Linked DNA regions of Arabidopsis thaliana. The protein of the gene in region 1 interacts with the protein of each later gene in a pairwise test. Each region holds a gene or a part of one and is shown in the gene's direction. Other genes may lie near its edges.

Region 1 (8,962 bases):
GGGAATCCTTTAAAAAGATAAGCTTCTTCGATGATGGAGCGGAATAGATGTTGGTTAATGCTTGATCTTATGGCCTTAGGTAAGTCTTGAAGAACCTCTTCTTGCCTTAACTCCGCGGTCTTGAACTTGAGCTGCATATGTGCAAGCATCTGTTCCCTCATTGTATCCGGTAACCTGTTCTTGCTTGTGTATCGCAATATATCATTGATCGCACTCCTCTGTTCAGCAGAAGAATGATTATTGTACGACTGGTAGAGTAAATGAATGAGTAAACAATCTTTTCGGGTTTAAGCAATGAATGATTATATACCATGGCGAATGTACGAAGAGCGCCATGGACAACTAGATTGGTCATGATACCGATGATATAAGAAGTGAGGCCAATGTTGAAAAGCATGTAGAACATGTTGAATGTCTTCTCACGGCTATTAACTGCATGCAAATCACCGTAACCCACGGTAGTGAGTGTGACAATGGACCAGTACATTGAGTAAGTGTACCCTAACCATACACTTCTTTCCTTAAAATCCTCAACTTGCGATCCTATCCATGTATCCGTAGGCCTTGGATAATGGTAGGCTATCCAGTATAAAATGCAACCCGCCAAATGTATCCAAAATATCGTTACCTGAATCAAATTTCACAATTTGAATAAAAGTCATAGATTGACATAGCCAATTTAGTGATTGTATGGACCACATATAGATAATTCAATATAAGTAAAACTTACACATAGAAGTTTGATGACTCGGATCACGAAATAGTTGAAATGTGCGTCTTTCTCTAGTCTGTTAAAAAAAGAAAGAAAGGAAGTGTAAAATAGACACACACATATGTACTATATGATAAGTGGATTTCAATATTGCATATTATATAGAAAGTAGTAAAGAAAAAACCTTTTAAAGAGTTCGGCTACACGACGGAGACGCCAGAGGCGGAGTAAATTAAGGAAGCCGAAAGCTTGGCCTCGTCCGACATCTCCGGTAATAGTTTTATAAATGAATTGAATGGGTAACGTTGATGCTACGTCCATCACAAAAGCCACGCTCTTCAAGTACCTATAATAATGCACAACATATATAATTCAATTCTAACTTATTCATTTTACTTATGTTATTTTTTTAACATATAAAAACAAATTGATTTGTTACCGTTTGGCGATGAGCTTGTGGTCGGTGACATTGAGGTAAGTAGTATTATCCAAGTAGGAAACAAAAAAGGTGAGGATGATATCAACGGCGAAGAAGAAGTCAACGACGAGATCAATGGTCAATAACGCTCCTTCGGCAGCTTTCTCGAAAGCCAACTCGAACAAAGATGCCCACGCCGAATACCCAACCAATATCACCAAAAACAATTCCCACAACCTACCATTAATTTTTATATGGAAAGATTAAAAAAAAATTAAGATATATGAATATTAATAAGAAATAACAATTTTAAGACGTAAAAATATGAAAATTAATGAACGAATCATTTGATCATTAATTTATGGACTAATAGAAACAGAAAAGTTATGAAATCTGTAAATCACTATTTATTGTTTGATAACCAAAAAACATTTCTTCGTTGTTTAGTTAGTGAGAAATGAACCTGTAACGACGATCAAAGTGAAGAACGATGAAAGGTTTGGAAGAAGGATTATCATCTTCGATGAAAGTCCCAAAAGCAGGCAAGAGACTGCTCGAAACTGACGTTATGTTCCTCACATCTTTGCTCGATCTTCTTCTGAACTGCAGTATCGATAACGGCGATCTTGCTTCCGCCGTCGACGCCGATAACGCCGTCGAAGACCTTCCTCTTCTCAACAACAACGGCAACGGTGATCTCGCCTCAGTAGTCGTCGTAGACATTCTTTTTTCCTTCTTCTTCTTCTCTCTCTTCTTCAAGCTTGATGATATATACTTCCCTCTTTTGTCTCTTTCATTTATACCTTTTTTTTTTAGTTTTGAATTATTAAAGAGGTGTTTAGATGATCAAGAAGGTGGTGAGCAAATTAAGTTGACTTTTTTTTTTACTGGTTTTTGTTTTCCCTATATTTTTTGGAAAAAAAGAATATAACAATACTATAAAACAAATTTACTTAACCATCTAATAAATTATAATTTTTCAAGATTGTAGTATGATGAATTTTACTCTTTATATATTCAACTTTGTTGTTATATATGCAGAAGGCTTCATCGACTTTTTTGACTCTTATTTACGTCTCTGTGTGTATTTAATGTGGCATCAGGTGTAGTGATTACAATCGAGATCTACAATATCAGGGGGATAAGGTTTTTTTTTTTTTTTTTCTTACGATAAATTATGTAATAATTAGCTGTTTAAATACTGGAGTTGAAAAAATTGAGGAACTCAAAAGTCAAATCTTGACGTCTTTTTTGTTGTTGTTATTAAATGAGACCGTGACAGGAATAGTAGTGTTGAAAACAAAACGAACAATAATAAACAAATGAATTACGTATCAATATCTATCATCAGTCAGAATTTAGTATGTTTTTAATACAATCATTTCAGTTTTTTTGAGATAACATATCATATATATATACTTCTTTCCACTTTCCAGTGTTGGATGTGCATGTTTACAATTTTTTTAAAAAATTCTAAGGAAAACAATGTTTTGAAATTCTAAGATACGTTTAGGTAATACATGAAGGGGGATACACTTTGTCTTCGTCCCTTAATTAGCTCCTATGAAGAATTTCACATACACAAATTAAGAAGATGCATGCAATAACAAGGCTAAAGCCATTTCTTAATAGTTCATTTGTACATAAAGTAAGTTTGTGTATGTTAAAAAAAAATTGTGTATGTACTGATGTACAGTATGTTGTTGATTGTTGATACGTAAAACCAAATAGTCAAATACTATACATTTTTACGTTTGCTCGTATAAATTAGGAAACGAAAGCATAATTGTTACGGATAAAAAAACACGAAAATCAATTAATGAAACAAAACCCTTTTGTAAAAAAGCCCATTTTTATGGAAGCCCATTTTGAGATGGACCAGTTAATGAAAAAAAATCCAAGAAACAATGAAACGAACGTTTAAGATCCATGATGGAAATTTGGGCCAAGATTATAAGAAGATCTCACCACATTTCATTTGGGCCGGGTGGGCGAAACATTCCGGGTGATCGTGTAGACCCAATTTTTTCGGTGGAAAGTGCAAAAAAAATGCAATTGGTGGATGTCGTCGCGGTTCGACCCCAAGGGATTTGGCCGGTAAAATTATTGGGAGTTGTCTTTCTCTTGCACTCTCTCTAGTTCCAAACCCTAGCAATTCCTCTGTTTTCACCATTTTCGGAGATTATCACCTTCTCCCCGATTCGCCGCCTTGTGATTACATCTACGTAAAGAGTTTCTGGTAGAAATTTTCCCTCTTTTAGCTGCAGATTGGCATCAGATTCCGTTCTGGATGTGTCGGTGATCGATTTTCCGCGTCGGTGATGATAGCTAACGGATTCGAGAGTATGGATAAAGAACGAGTCAGGAAACGTCCTCGTATGACCTGGGACGAGGCCCCAGCTGAACCAGAGGTTGCTCCTCTTTCTTCTTCTTCTTTTTTTAATTAATCTTTGACATTTAGAACTTCGAATTAGGGTTTAGAATGTGGAGGAAAGACCGAGCATTTATGTTTCTTTGGTGAGATTTTGATATGCTGACAATGAATGAATTTTGACTTTTTTGTGATAGGCTAAAAGGGCTGTGATTAAAGGACATGGAAGCGATGGGAGGATTTTGTCACCACCATTAAGGGACGATGATCGTGATGGTCATTATGTTTTCAGTTTGAGGGACAATCTCACTCCTAGATGTGAGTTTTTGATGGATAAAGTTGCTAACTTTCTATTCTATGTGAGCTAAGATATTTACCTATGTTGCTTCTATATGTGTATTGTTGCTAGTAACTCTTTGTTTTGTTTGGCACCATTGCCTTAGGGATAATCTTTTTTCGCTTTCGTTTCATTGGGATGAGAATCCTTCCTGAACATTTTTAATTGCTTAACTTACGCTATTGTGTGTTCTGTTTTGACTTTTGACAGATAAAATACTTAGCAAGATGGGTGAAGGTTAGCTGTCAAGTGGCATGGTGTGTTCGAGATAAAAAAAATGTTTATGTGAATCAAATCGTGCCATTTCAGTGAACTTGCTGGTGTTGTAGGCACATTTGGTCGGGTTTTGGAATGTTGGGATCGTGATACAAAAGAATATGTGGCAATAAAGATAATTCGAAGCATTAAGAAATACCGGGATGCAGCAATGATTGAAATTGATGTACTTCAGAAACTTGTTAAGAGTGATAAAGGCCGCACACGGTATTTATTTATCTTCTAGACTTTAGTTGATGACATCGTTTCCTTCAGAGGTGTATATCATTGCTCAGTTTCTTCATTTCTGCTTTGTCCTTGCAGCTGTGTACAGATGAAGAACTGGTTTGATTACCGAAATCATATTTGCATTGTAAGTATCCCAACTAAGCTCATTGATTTCCACCACCGTTCAAATGCATCTCTAATATTTAATTGGTTCTATGTTCAGTGACCTGTGAGGTTTGTTAGTGTTACAAATGAATGAATCATAATATTTCTGGCTACCTTTCTTTGTTTGATGCCCAAGTGACAGAAATCCAATTCCGTGTATAGTGTTTGTGTAGTTTGTTTACTCATGTGGATTTTTTCGAAGTTTGGAACTAAACGGAACCTTCCTGTGAATGAACTCTAATGGTGATACCAGGTGTTCGAGAAGCTTGGGCCAAGTTTGTTTGACTTTCTAAAGAGAAATAAATACTCCGCATTTCCTCTGGCCCTTGTTCGGGATTTTGGATGCCAGCTTTTGGAATCTGTAGCATGTCTGTGAATTGTTCCTATCTGCTGCTATTTTATACAATTATCGTACCTAGCACGTCACCTTTATGTCCCGGTTCAGCAGCTGTAGTTCCTACCTAATGCCTCTCTGTTCTTAACATAATCTTCCTTGTCTACAGATATGCACGAGTTACAGTTAGTTCACACCGACCTCAAGCCTGAGAACATTCTGTTGGTGTCTTCTGAAAATGTAAAGCTTCCTGACAATAAGGTATCTAGAACTGAAATAGGTTAAGGTTGGGTTTGGGTACACTCTCTGTAGTTAAAGTTTTGAAAGAAAAAGAAAAATCTTCAAGAGTTTGTACTTTTTGACAGTTTGGTATTTGATTTTAAATAACAGAGGAGTGCTGCAAATGAGACACATTTCAGGTGCTTACCAAAGTCAAGCGCCATTAAACTGATTGATTTTGGCAGTACTGTTTGTGATAACCGGATTCATCACTCCATTGTCCAAACAAGACATTACAGATCCCCCGAGGTCATTTTAGGTAGGCTAATCAGTTACTTGCTCGTCAATAGATGCTTGTGGATTCCGTAGCTGATGCTTAACGAATGAACATAATTTTTCCCTGGTAACTAATCAGTGGCATATCATTGCAGGTCTAGGATGGAGTTACCAGTGTGACTTATGGAGTATAGGTTGTATACTATTTGAACTATGCACGGTAAAGTCTCTTCATTTTGTTGTATGAATTCTTATCTCCATGTTTATTAGTTGTTTTACTTACTATTGTCAACATTTTCAAACTGTCCATCAGGGTGAGGCTCTCTTTCAGACGCATGATAACCTAGAACATCTAGCTATGATGGAGAGGGCGCTTGGACCTTTACCTGAACATATGACTCGAAAAGCCAGGTTACTTTTCTGTTTCCACAAACATTTGGGTGCGTAAAAAGTCCACAGAGATATAAATGCTCATCGGTTGTTGCATGTATGGTCGTTATGTTTTTGTAGCCGGGGTGCTGAGAAATATTTCAGGAGAGGGTGTCGGTTGAATTGGCCAGAAGGAGCCAACTCTAGAGAAAGTATTAGGGCTGTAAAAAGACTTGATCGTCTCAAGGTTTAATCACCATTAATTCTTGTTAGTGTCTAATGATATATCTTTTGTTTAATATGCCGTAATCTGAAGTAGAAACTGCTTACAATTCTTGCAGGATATGGTATCGAAACATGTTGACAACACGAGATCTAGATTTGCAGATCTATTGTATGGTTTATTGGCATATGATCCATCTGAGCGTCTCACAGCAAACGAAGCTCTTGACCATCCTTTCTTTAAGAGCTCAAGTTGAGAAGAAGCAAAATCAGAACCATAAAATGTAGAATTTTACTTGGTAACAAGTTTTTTTGTTAGATTCCTCTAAAGCTCCCGTTCTCAGTAGCACCAAACAGTAGTATTCCTATTTCAGTTACGAGTTTGGCTACGTTTATTCTGGAAAATACCTCTGTTGTACATTGTGTTGTTGAGAATATAAAACTTGCATCATATTTTGAAACTAATCAATCGTGTAAATTGCATATCATAAGCAAAATCTACACATTGCACCATCCATTATCATATTAATGAAACTTAAGATGCCCCAAGGACTCGATGATTCTCAATCTTAAGTGAAGAAGACTGTTTCACTTTCACCCACCAAGAAACTGTATATGTACTTATAATTGAAGACTAGGTACATTCTCTATTAATAACCATTGGTTTTGGTCGTTGTTACTCGAGATCTTCAGTGAAATCGACCAGCCTCTCGCCCACTTTGTATCGATTATCGAATTCCAGCTTGTGAAGGTAGAGGATAAGATCACGAATGAGCTTGACACTAAACCATATGGGGATTAAGGCAAGGATCGCCGGCCAAATGAACCGCTGGACGGTTAAGTTGACTGCACTGGAAAATCCAAGAATTGGGAACAGAGAGTTTACCACCACGTAGGGAACGCAGAGAGTGAATAAAAGGGACACTATGATCGAACCAATAACATCTCGAATCAGCCACGTAAAGGGAAGTCGGTTGATTGTAACGCTTCTGATTCTTTGAAGCTTTTCCCGCCAGGCCACAGTTGCAAAACAGTTGATCCGTGTGAGCATAGTCTGCGAGAGAAGAAAGCAGTTACAATAACGAGTTCTTGATTGAAGCAATAATGATGGACAGACGTTTCATCTTACCAGAAAGATCCAGATGTGTAGGACGACTACACCGATCAACCAATCGTGGAGCAAGTTATATACTGGGGATTCACCTAGCGGAACTTGTGATGGGATGATGATCATAAGGTCGATAAGGAGACCGAGCACTCCCGGTATGACAGAGATCTGTTCACAGCAAAACATCATGATTCAAAAATTCATAATATTCAGACGTTTTCAGTGAAAGAGTTTTGGGATTTCTTACCCATATGGAGAATAACAAGACATTCCGTATGAACATCAGGACATGGTTGAGAAGCAAATCGGTTCTTCCCGTTATGAAATGATCATAGACAAAGCAAGTGATGATATAGATTCCTCGCAGGATACAGAATCCAATCCAGAAAGCACAAAGATCTAAAATGATTGGTTTTAAAATTAGAAGCATAATACAAAGGAGAAAGACGTGTGAAGCAAGATTAAGAAAGTACAAACCGTCGTGTTTGAGTCCGAAACTTAGCATGAAGAAAGAGATAGAGTGGAAAAACGCCCTTCCCACTAGAATTGGTAAAGCCATGAAGGTTGTACTAACAAGAAACATACTCAGAGAAGCAAGAATCAACATCACTCCAATCCTCACCATAAACCTGAGACTTCAACTTATCAGAATATAGATTTTGCGAAGGAAGTTATCTCTATTAAAAGCATGTTAACTACTACCTTTTATCTCTTTGCTCGTTTGTATCCTTTTCACAGGTGGTATCGCTTTGAGATCCATGCAAACTGACCATAGAGCCTTCAGCTATGCCAAATACTAGACACCGAAGTCTCATATTATGATTTGCACGGTGTTTTCGGGGCTCTCCAAGCAAGAAATCACTCAACTTGAGCAAAGAACTGATAGTGATAACCCACTTGTGAACTATGGGTCTGATGGATGGTCTAATTAAATTGGCTAACCACCGGGGACCGAATATTACTAGGCACATATAAGCAACAAGTAAGCCAAACACAAACTCATCCTCGTACACCCTGCATATCCCTTATTAGGCACATTTTGTTCAAGAATCGAGAAATTAGAAACATTATGTGGTAAGGTCCAGAGGAGCTTACCCAAATTGGAGAGGGAAAAAGGACTGGCTGATGAGACTGATTGTTTTTATTGGTAAGTGAAGCACAATCACCACCATTGTCCCATGCAAAGCAAACGCCAAGAGAATGGGACCAAGATGCAGTTTGGTGACTTTGTAGTTTGGTTCTGCAACATCTAGCAGATACCATAAGGCTCGTTTCTGAACTATCTGCCAAAAGAAAGAAGAGAAAGTGGAGTAAACTAGATGATGCGTGAGAACTGAACAAAAAGTTCAAATTTTACCTTTTGGATAAGCTCCATGCAACTTAAAGCAGATACCAAGTACAACGTTCCCATTAACCAATGTTTGTCAGCCATGAGTGGATAGTCTGAAAGAACCTCAACGGTGTGGGAAGCTGTCTTTCCCAGTATAGGGAAAGTGCAGAAATGTAGCCAGCAACCAAGTAACCAAGGCAGAACACCGAGTTTAAAAGACAAGATGAATGTATCCTTAACTGACGGTAAAAACGTTCTGACGCTTGTTAGATAAGTGTCTCGAGACATAGTAAAGACTCCTCCAAGGCAAGCCAATAAAACTGAGCGTATAACCATATCTCCAGCAGCCATTTCAGATGCATTTTCCGCAATCCAACCGTGTGGGAGACAGCGTAGGAGAACTAAAACAACTCGGCCAATCGAAAATGGTAAAAGAACCCTGAAGAAAGACCAATAGATGTTGATGGCAAGAACCTGTAGAGAAAAGAAAAGAATCTGTTACACAACATGGTGAAACATTAATGTTAATCCGGAAAGCTAAGACAACAATCTCTACAGTGCATGATTCTCTTTATGTAAGAGTAATTGAATAAAGAGAGCTGGGACTTACAGCAAAAG
Region 2 (10,108 bases), on another chromosome or scaffold:
ATGTTATTTTTATAATAAATACAACATATGTAGTTTTAAGTAAATGTGTAAAATTTGTATACAAGTTGTTTTGGTAAGAAACATGTTTCCTTTGTATTAAAGGGTCTAATTTTTGGCCTAACTTAGAATTAGTCTTTGTATAGTATTTGGATTATATTTGTGGACCTAATTGAGGCCTATATTAGATTATCTTTGATAGGGCTGACGAAAAAACGGACCCAATAACCAACTCAATACCCGAACCAAAAAAACGGGTTAGGGCGGGTTAAAATTTTAGGAAATTTCCTTATTGGGTAGAGTTTTAGTAAACCCGTGGATATCCGATTGGTCTGGAAATTACCTGGTACAAAACAAAGTATTCAAAAACCCAAACATTAATTTAATATCCAAAATATTAATTATATTTAATCGTAATATTATCTAATTATCTAAGATTATAATTATAAATTTAAATATGTCAATTAATTTTGGACCTAAATATCCAAAACAACTAAACTATTCAAAAATGATTTGTTATGTTTGTCAAAATTTTGTAAAATATATTCAAATATAATTAAATTTATTAAAACTTAACAAATTTAAAAGTTTTTTTTGTTTGGAGACCCGCTATGTACATACAAATTTCCAGTTTCTATTTTTTTTTGGATATTTTTAGGGTCTGAAACTTTTTATCCAAACTGACCCAAACCCAACTGGATCCGACCCGAACCAGAACCAAATATTTAGAATTATTCTATTGGATAGTAAATCATATACCCATTAATCCCAAACCCGAACGGGTTCTACCAGAACTCGAATGGGTTACTCGTATGCCCAACCCTATTCTCTGATTTAATTATCTAAAAACTCCCAAAAAAAACATATGTTTTGCTGACTACTTTTTATTCAAAAAAATGTACATCCTCTTCTACCAAAATCATTTCATAAGACATCCCAAAACCCTTGGAATAATGATTTTATGAATGAAGAATCCTAATTTGTATATACCAAGAGGTTTTAAAAAGTTTTAAGTTTTTATTTCTAATGGCATACCTATGTAATTACTTACAAAAAATAAGGTTACATTTAAAATGCTTATTTATAATTTTTGATAAGTGTGTATGTGAGAAGGTACGGACATCGTGATGGTAATCTGCTTATTTATAATTTTAACTTGCAGTATACCACATGTAGGCTTATATTTTATTTAAACTAAAAATTTTTATTGTAAAGATGATTATAAATATATGATATTATTTTATTTGATTTTAAATGTATAGTAAACTGCGAGTTGTATATGTTTTGTTGATATTATTTATATTGTTTAGTGTTTAAAATTATACACTTGTATTTTGATTGTTAATTTTAGAGTTTCACATGTAGTATACCATCTTGTATTAATATCGATTTAAACCCGTCAATTCTAGGATTTTCTATCTTGTATTAAAAATTGAATCACATCATACACATAAAAAAATCTAATATGTTATTAATTATTGTAGTATATAAGATTATAAATTTTTAAAATAATATGTATGAAATTGAATATAAATATTCAAATTATGACCCAGTATTCAGTAGAAAATTTTCTTAAATCTATTTTTGACCCGTTATAATATTTTTTCATGTATTGAACAGTTTATATTAGTTTTTAAAAATTCAAATTATGGCATATGCGAAAAAACTCTAATTATTTTTTTATAACGATGATATTATTTTTTCGCCAAAATAGAATCATATAAAGATGAGAGGTGAACTATAATAATTAATAAAAAATTAATATGATAATTTAGATATCAAATCTAATTTGTTGATTTTAATTGGTTACTTTTTTGGAAATTAATAATGTATTTTGTTTTTTAATTAAATTTAATTAATTAAATTAGTATTTGACTTAATTATTAAAGAGATGAATTAATTTACTCTTTAAATTTTATTTCTAATGGCATACTTATGTAATTACTTACAAAAAATAAGGTTATATTTAAAATGTACTTCCTAAATAATATAGTAGGATTTCTTAATTAGGAAAATGACAAAAAAATATTATATTTACCTCTTAACTTTTGAGATTTTATTTAAATTTATGAAAGTTTTGCTTTTTTTTCAGCGGAGATGTTAGGCGAAACTTACATTATTTTCTTGTCAGCAAAGATTTGGTGAATTCGTTAATTCGATGATGATAACGTTAGTGACGGTTGCAAAAATGTTTCTGTTTTTACGGTTTTTTGATTCATGTAGAGGCAAAGTTTGTTTGTAATTGGAAAGAAAAAATAAATTAAATAACGAATCTTAAAAAGTCTTCCAAGTTGATTTTTTTCTTTACTGACATAAATTTTGCTTTATATATCATACAAATACGTCAAAGTCCATAATTTCGATGATGGTGATGACAAAAGAAAATATGTTATTATCTTTTGCATGACATGCCCTCATATATGAAACTGAAACACAGAGTTATGAGCTCATCTATATATACATTTTTGCTGCTACTTTGTGAAATAAATACTGGAGTTGGGATTTATTTACAACGGCTGCCACTGGCATTTAATAATTGTTTTTGATAATTAGAAAGAAAATCTTCTAATTAAATATTTGACATTTAACAATCTTCCCAAAATCTCTCAACCTTAACTACACGATTAATTACTAAAATAAAACTTCTAAAATATTTAATATCATTTAATTACTACAAAATTATCATTTTTGATATTGCTTTTCTGCATGATTATAATCATCAAACCGTAGAGATATTTGATAGCATTTAATTACTACAAAATTACAAAATATTTAGACAATAATTCATAAACATATCATAAATAAAATCAACATTAATAAAATAAATGAGTTTTTTTTAGAGGACGGGTTGGCGGGACGAGTTTGGCAGGACGTTATTTAATAACAATTGTAAACTATACAATAAAAATATTTTATAGATAGATAAAATTTACAAACTTTTATATATATTAATTAAAAAAATAAATTGTTTCCGCGGTGTACTGCGGGTTAAAATCTAGTCTAATACAATATTAGAGATAACTATAGTCATTGCTCTCATTTTTCCATTTGCATACTTATATGTTCTCAATTCTCATACCTACCTTATATTGTGTGCCCATACACCTTCCATGCGCACTTGTTGTCCACACAAATTACGATCAAACAACTGTTATATAGTTTCCACCCACACTTTCACCTATGGTTTAAGAAACATAAGTTACTCTAATGTAGTAGGACGAGTTGACCAAACCTAACTCCTTCATTTTGTTGCACCAACCCATATTTTTACCGAGTAATGCACACCCCAAAACTTATAATCATAGTCATCTTCCTTTCACGTCCCATAAGGTTCACATTGATTACTCTAATCTATTTCACTTTCAAGATTACCACCACATGTAACTTTTCCATTCCTTTTCCACATTTATCTCTTAAACCTCAAACACTTTCAAGTTTCATCTTCTCTCTCTCTTATTAACTTCATCTACCAACCCTACTTAACCTAAAACCATTTTCAATTGCTTAATCAGTCCACACAATGCACATAAATTTCCGTGACCACACTGTTCGTTTTAGAAGAAAAAAACCACTTCCAAAATTGCATATGTACCAATAAGATAAAATGTTTTACTCATTCAAATAGACCTACGAGATTAATTAAGACTAGGTTTGCTTTGGGCTAAAACTGGCCCATAAGCTATGGCAATTGAAACCAATCAGATTACAAAAAAGGCTTGTCAAGAAGATGAGACCGAACATGTTCCAATAAATGGCAATAACGTAATTCTCAAAACCTCTGAGGGTAACAATGGAAAAACAAAATGAAGTGAGTCCGATATAGCTAGGGCTCGTTAAAAACTCTTCAAAATCTCTGTGGAAGCCCCATTTTCACATCTAAATCTCACAAATCTCTCTCAAGCTTCGATCTTTCTTCTAGAGACGAGCTAGTGCTTCCACAAACCCTAAACTATGTCCGGCGGTTTCTTCCGGGTTAGTTTTCCGATCAATTTTCTCAATTGATCTCTCATCTTTTAGATCCAGATCGATGCAATTCAAAAGTTTTGTTGAAGTTCCCATGGTTTAATAACTTCTTTGTTTTGAGCTTTTAGGGTACTTCCGCCGAGCAGGATACTCGGTTTTCTAACAAGCAAGCTAAATTGATGAAAAGCCAGAAATTTGCTCCGGAGTTAGAGAATCTGGTGAGTTTTCTCTTTGTGTACTCGTCCATTTTAACGATTTGTGAATTCGTAGCTTGAATTTACTTAATTGAGATTCGATTACCAGATAATTCGATACATATGTTACTATGAAATTAAGTTTGGGGAGGGCTTAATGATGTCTTCTACTTGCCTTGGTGTTAGGTGGATATCACTAAAGTGAAGATGGATGTTATGAAACCTTGGATTGCGACTAGAGTCACTGAGCTTCTTGGTATTGAAGATGAAGTGCTGATTAACTTTATCTATGGTCTGCTTGACGGGAAGGTAAGCTCATTACTGAGATTTTATTTTTCTGAGCTTTTTATTCGACTGTTAATAAGTGACAGAGGGGTAGTATGATTTCGTAGCCCATGCCATTGATACAAGTGATTTTTTTTTGTTGGACTAATATGTAATTGAACGTTCACTATGTATGTAGGTAGTGAATGGTAAGGAGATTCAGATAACGCTAACTGGATTCATGGAGAAAAATACTGGCAAATTTATGAAAGAACTTTGGACACTTCTTCTAAGCGCACAGAATAATCCAAGTGGTGTTCCACAGCAGTTTTTAGATGCTAGAGCTGCTGAAACAAAGAAGAAACAGGTATTCTTGGGAACTCATTCTGAAGTTAGTTTGGTGAACGACTTGTCTCTGTCCTACTGTTTCATGATTATTATCCTTTATGTGGCAGGAAGAAGCAAATGAAATAATGAAGAAGAGGGAGGGAGATAAGAAGAACATTGAGCACGATATATTGAGGAAAATAGTAAGACGTTCTTATTCATGCTAGAGTTTCAGCTTTAGAGATGCTCTTCTGGTTTTAACATTCGCCTGTTCTTTCATGTTATTCAGATAGCTTCTGCAATTATTAGGGTTCATGTGCTTTACCTCAACTACTGTAGGACAGCGGTGTAGAACATAAGGAGACAAATGGCATGGATGCAAAACCTTCAAGAGATCGTCCAGAGGATGGGAGAAGGGCTGACGAGAAGAATGGTGTAAAAGAAAGGAGAAGGTAGAGTTCTCTTAATGCCTATGATTTCATAGCTACTCTCTACTCATCGCTGTATTCCCTTGTGTACTTTATTATTGATTGAGTTCATCCTTCTAGTCTACTCATAACTTTGTACGTTGATTTTCTCTATAAGAACTCGTGGGCATGAGTTGTTCAAGTATTTCTATAAATGACTGTTCTGGGTCTTCTAGTCTTTTAGCATTTTTAGGTATGCTACTGGTACTTTGCATGTGCATTTGGTTTGCTGGTGGTCCAGGAATTTGTTTGTGGCCAAGATTATTATGTAAGTGGGTTCTGACATTGCCTCCACTTGATGCAGGGATCTGATACCTCCACGTCGCGGAGATGCATCCCGCTCACCCCTTAGGTGACTCTTCAATAGTTTTGTTTTTTCTAATACAATTTGCTTATATGTGCAAGTATATATTGATTGGTTGCTTTACAGAGGGTCACGTTCTAGGTCAATCAGCAAAACAAATTCAGGCTCGAAAAGTTATTCTGGGTATGTAGCCTTCTGCAATTGTTTTTCTTAATCCAAAGAAATTGTAGCCTGTGATGTGTAGCTAGCTAGTTCTGTATCTATTATTTTCTGTAAATCCTAGTGCAGTTTTTGCTAATGCTGTCTACTTTTATAACAGCGAACGGAAATCCAGGAGCACATCTCAATCATCAGATGCCTCCATCTCACCTAGAAAGCGAAGATTGTCGAATTCAAGACGTAGATCCAGATCACGTTCCGTGCGTAGGTCTCTGTCTCCTCGGCGACGTAGGATACACTCTCCTTTCAGAAGCAGGTCGCGGTCACCTATTAGACGTCACAGGCGACCTACGCATGAGGGACGCCGTCAATCACCAGCCCCTTCAAGACGTCGCCGTTCTCCATCCCCACCTGCTAGACGGCGCAGGTCACCATCCCCACCTGCTAGACGGCGCAGGTCACCATCACCACCTGCTAGACGGCACAGGTCTCCAACACCACCTGCAAGGCAGCGCAGGTCACCATCGCCCCCTGCTAGGCGTCACCGTTCTCCACCGCCAGCTAGGCGGCGTAGGTCTCCTTCACCGCCAGCTAGGCGGCGTAGGTCTCCTTCACCGCCAGCTAGGCGGCGTAGGTCTCCATCTCCACTCTACAGGCGTAACAGGTCTCCATCTCCACTCTATAGGCGTAACAGGTCACGGTCACCGCTGGCTAAGCGGGGAAGGTCTGACTCACCAGGGAGGTCTCCGTCACCAGTGGCTAGGCTCAGGGATCCCACTGGGGCAAGATTGCCTTCACCATCCATTGAGCAAAGATTGCCTTCACCACCCGTTGCACAAAGGTTGCCTTCACCACCCCCTAGGCGTGCAGGATTACCTTCACCACCCCCTGCGCAAAGGTTGCCTTCACCACCCCCTAGGCGTGCAGGATTACCTTCACCAATGAGGATTGGAGGATCTCATGCAGCCAATCACCTGGAATCACCATCACCCAGCTCATTGTCCCCTCCTGGTAGGAAAAAAGTGTTACCATCTCCACCTGTTAGAAGACGCAGGTCACTGACACCTGACGAAGAGCGAGTCTCCCTGTCACAAGGTGGACGCCATACTTCCCCTTCACATATCAAGCAAGATGGATCTATGTCACCTGTTAGGGGTCGAGGTAAATCTTCTCCTTCATCTCGACATCAGAAAGCGCGCTCTCCTGTTCGGCGCAGATCACCAACACCTGTCAACCGGCGAAGTCGAAGATCTTCATCTGCTTCACGATCACCTGATAGACGCAGGAGACGGTCTCCATCTTCGAGCAGATCTCCTTCTAGGTCGCGATCACCTCCTGTTCTTCATAGATCTCCTTCTCCACGTGGAAGAAAACATCAGAGAGAGAGAAGATCTCCTGGGCGTCTATCTGAAGAACAAGATAGGTATGGTCTTCATGACTCCATTTACTATAATCTTCTTCTTATCTGTACTTGTTAACTCCTTGACCCTCTGTCTGCTTTCGCATTGTGACAGGGTTCAAAATTCCAAGCTGTTAAAGAGAACTTCAGTGCCTGATACTGACAAGAGGAAACAATTACCAGAGAAGTTGCTAGAAGTTGGGCGTGTAGAACATTATAAGGAGCAGGAGAGAAAGAGGTGCATTTTGTTTCTTTTCATTTTCCAAATGATTTTCGTTTGACTTCAAATATCAAGGTCTGATAAATGTTGGTCTATTCAACTTCTTAACAGTGATAAGTTGTCAGAGAAGCGATCTGTTCACAGACACCATGGTTCACAGATGTCCCCAGTAGAAAATTCAGAAGGAAGGAGTCGGCCTGTTTCTAGTAAAGTGAAAGACAGTGAGCAGGTTGAGAAAGAGGATAACAGCGACCTGGATGCAAACCTTTCCTGTGATTCTAAGGATACCATCAGACATCAAATTAAGGATAAAAATAGAAGAAAGAATAAAAGGTCTTCAAGGGAAGAAGTATCTTCAGATGATAATGGCAGTTCTGATTCCGACGTAGATGATAGGAAGGAGGCTAAAAGGAGGAGGAAGGAGGAGAAGAAAACGAGAAAGGAGGAGAAGAAACGTAGGCGAGAGGAGAGACATCGTAAAAGGGAAGAACGTCGTGGTGGAAAGGAGAAGCATAAGAAACAAGAGCTTTCTGATACTTCAGAAGGTGAAGTTGAGGCCCGTCCTAAGATTAAAAAAGGGGAGGAATCTGATCCAAAGAGGCTTGAAATTGAGTTGCGAAACAAAGCACTCGAGTCATTGAAAGCAAAGAAGGGCATTAGCCACTAAGTCCCTTGTCCAGCGTTATTTGAACATCATCTTTTATGATACTATCCCTTGCTAGATTTATGAACATCATCTTATGTTGTGTTTTTTCTTACATGTTCCAAACTTTCTTATGTGGTCTGTTTGTTGGTGGCAGCAAAATTGGACAAGTGACAATTATGATAGCAAAATTGGACAAGTGACAATTATGATAGCAAAATTGTTTCTTGCATTGGGTGGTCCCTTTATGTTAACATAAGCTTTAAAAAACCATTTAGGTTAATATAAGCTAACAAAAAAAACCCAAGAGATGTTTTCATGGAAAATATTCCTGTATATGATGAAGTCATGATATAAGTTTCGTAGCTATGTATCCTAAACTGACATAACAAAATATCATTTAGATTTTAAATAGATCAAAGATATATTTTGTAATGATCATTTTCCCAGAAGAGTAGGATCAGATTGTCCTAACAACAAGAAAATATTTCTCAAAACCAGAAATTCTTATTTTCAAATTTACAAATGGAGTAAAATACAATTATAGGCTTTATTCACATCATCATGCTTAATGCATCTTCGTCCAATCTTGAAATCACACAATTCAAAATACAGACACGTTTGTGAGATCACTTTTTAGACTCCATAGAAGAGGTAGTCATCATGAGGGAGAGCTTCAGTTCCTTCGAGATACCGAAACACATTTTTCATCATTGGCCTTGATTCTGGAGATCGGTTGGCGCAGAGAAGTCCTGTTTTCAGAACCAATAATACTTCTCGAGCTACCAAATTCTCTCTATTGATTCTTGTGTCGCAGCTCATTAACAGATCACCTTTCTTGAACCCTTGAAGCACCCAGTTCACCAAACTTATCTCTTCTGGTGCTTTAGTCGGCTCTATGGCCTTCCTTCCACAAACGATCTCCATCATCAACACTCCAAACGCAAACACATCTGTGTCACGTGTTACCTTTCCCGTGTTGACTAGTTCTGGTGCAACGTGCCCTGTGGTGCTGTGTCTGCTTCCTTGTCCATAGTCGCCTAGTCGAGCGTTTAGCTCTTCGTCTAAGAGTACGTTGCTTGCTTTTACGTTTCCATGAATCAAAGGTTTTTGACCTTCACCGTGAAGGTGTTGAAGTGCTGCTGCAATCCCCTTTATTATACAGAACCGATCTGACCAGGTGAGAACTGGTCGGTCGTTGTTGAACAAGAACCGGTCTAGGCTTCCATTGGGGACATACTCGTAAACAAGATAGATATCTTTTCCTTTGCTGCAGTAACCATGTAGATTGACTAGGTTTCGTTGTTTAATCTTGGAGATCGCATCGATCTCGGCTATTAGGGTTGTCTTTTGTTGCCTTGTGGTGCAAGTAATCTTCTTTACGGCAATTATCTCTGTGGGAGCAAGCTGTCCTTTGTAGAAACTTCCAGAGTTTCTCTCTCCCAAGAGTTTAGAATTGTCGAAACCTCCCGTTGCGTTCGATATCGTCTGGTAGGAGAATTTCCTTGCACCTCCGATGAAGAATATTTTGTCTCTACGTAAGAACCAAAATCCTGAGAAGATTAGGATCATGAGTGCAACCGTTGCTGATGCAGCGACGATTATGATCAGCATCGTGTTGTTCGACTTCTTCTCGGTTGAAACCGGAGGACTTGGGGATGGAGACAATGTTGGTGGCGGATCTGGGAGAGAAGGAAGCTTCGTGATATCAAAGTCTGATTCTTTCCCTTCGATGTTGAAGCTCCAACCTAGAACAAAATGTGAGCTCGCTACAGTCCCCGTGGACGCAGAGAATCCAACGTGATGTTCTTGGGAGAAAATCCCTGAAAGATTCATTTTTCTCGAGAGAAGAGGTATACTTGGCTTCGGACGATCTAGAGGAGCCAATGTGACATTAAGCATTGTCTCAGTGGCGTTGTATTCGATCCAGACTCTTACTGGTTTCCCACTCGCCAGCCTCAAGCTTATGTTCTTGGCCTCTCGGTCATCAAAATATGCAGCCGGTGCAGACGCAATGGAGATCACTCCATTTAGGTCGATGCCTACGTGGTTATCGTCAATATCATTCAACTCAACCGCTTGCACGGTGTCAAATTCAATTGCAAGAATTCGATTCAAGGAGTTTCCATTGTTGGAGGTGTTGAAGAGGCCCAGATAATTGCTGGGAAAAG

The links.
Region 2: the proteins of AME3 (region 1) and AT2G29210 interact in a two-hybrid assay, tested with the Arabidopsis thaliana proteins (one large-scale study listed by BioGRID).

Annotation. Positions count from the first base shown.
Region 1 is NC_003075.7:15,752,945-15,761,906, forward strand, and holds AME3 (Protein kinase superfamily protein), read left to right. Parts: upstream 1-3,073; 5' UTR 3,074-3,451; coding exon 3,452-3,541; intron 3,542-3,698; coding exon 3,699-3,819; intron 3,820-4,048; coding exon 4,049-4,075; exon of another isoform or gene 4,076-4,167; coding exon 4,168-4,321; intron 4,322-4,417; coding exon 4,418-4,466; exon of another isoform or gene 4,467-4,739; coding exon 4,740-4,854; intron 4,855-4,989; coding exon 4,990-5,081; intron 5,082-5,210; coding exon 5,211-5,358; intron 5,359-5,470; coding exon 5,471-5,535; intron 5,536-5,628; coding exon 5,629-5,726; intron 5,727-5,825; coding exon 5,826-5,931; coding exon of another isoform or gene 5,932-5,937; exon of another isoform or gene 5,938-5,952; intron 5,953-6,025; coding exon 6,026-6,163; 3' UTR 6,164-6,370; downstream 6,371-8,962. Other genes in the region: KAT3 (potassium channel protein), read right to left, coding at 1-218, 311-628, 731-788, 897-1,058, 1,152-1,367, 1,594-1,853; AT4G32670 (RING/FYVE/PHD zinc finger superfamily protein), read right to left, coding at 6,583-6,960, 7,036-7,182, 7,262-7,413, 7,492-7,643, 7,717-8,028, 8,110-8,297, 8,372-8,818, 8,955-8,962.
Region 2 is NC_003071.7:12,554,208-12,564,315, forward strand, and holds AT2G29210 (splicing factor PWI domain-containing protein), read left to right. Parts: upstream 1-3,771; 5' UTR 3,772-3,948; coding exon 3,949-3,969; intron 3,970-4,088; coding exon 4,089-4,178; intron 4,179-4,340; coding exon 4,341-4,463; intron 4,464-4,617; coding exon 4,618-4,785; intron 4,786-4,873; coding exon 4,874-4,948; intron 4,949-5,084; coding exon 5,085-5,197; intron 5,198-5,516; coding exon 5,517-5,564; intron 5,565-5,642; coding exon 5,643-5,699; intron 5,700-5,835; coding exon 5,836-7,098; intron 7,099-7,189; coding exon 7,190-7,312; intron 7,313-7,405; coding exon 7,406-7,961; 3' UTR 7,962-8,160; downstream 8,161-10,108. Other genes in the region: AT2G29220 (Concanavalin A-like lectin protein kinase family protein), read right to left, coding at 8,574-10,108.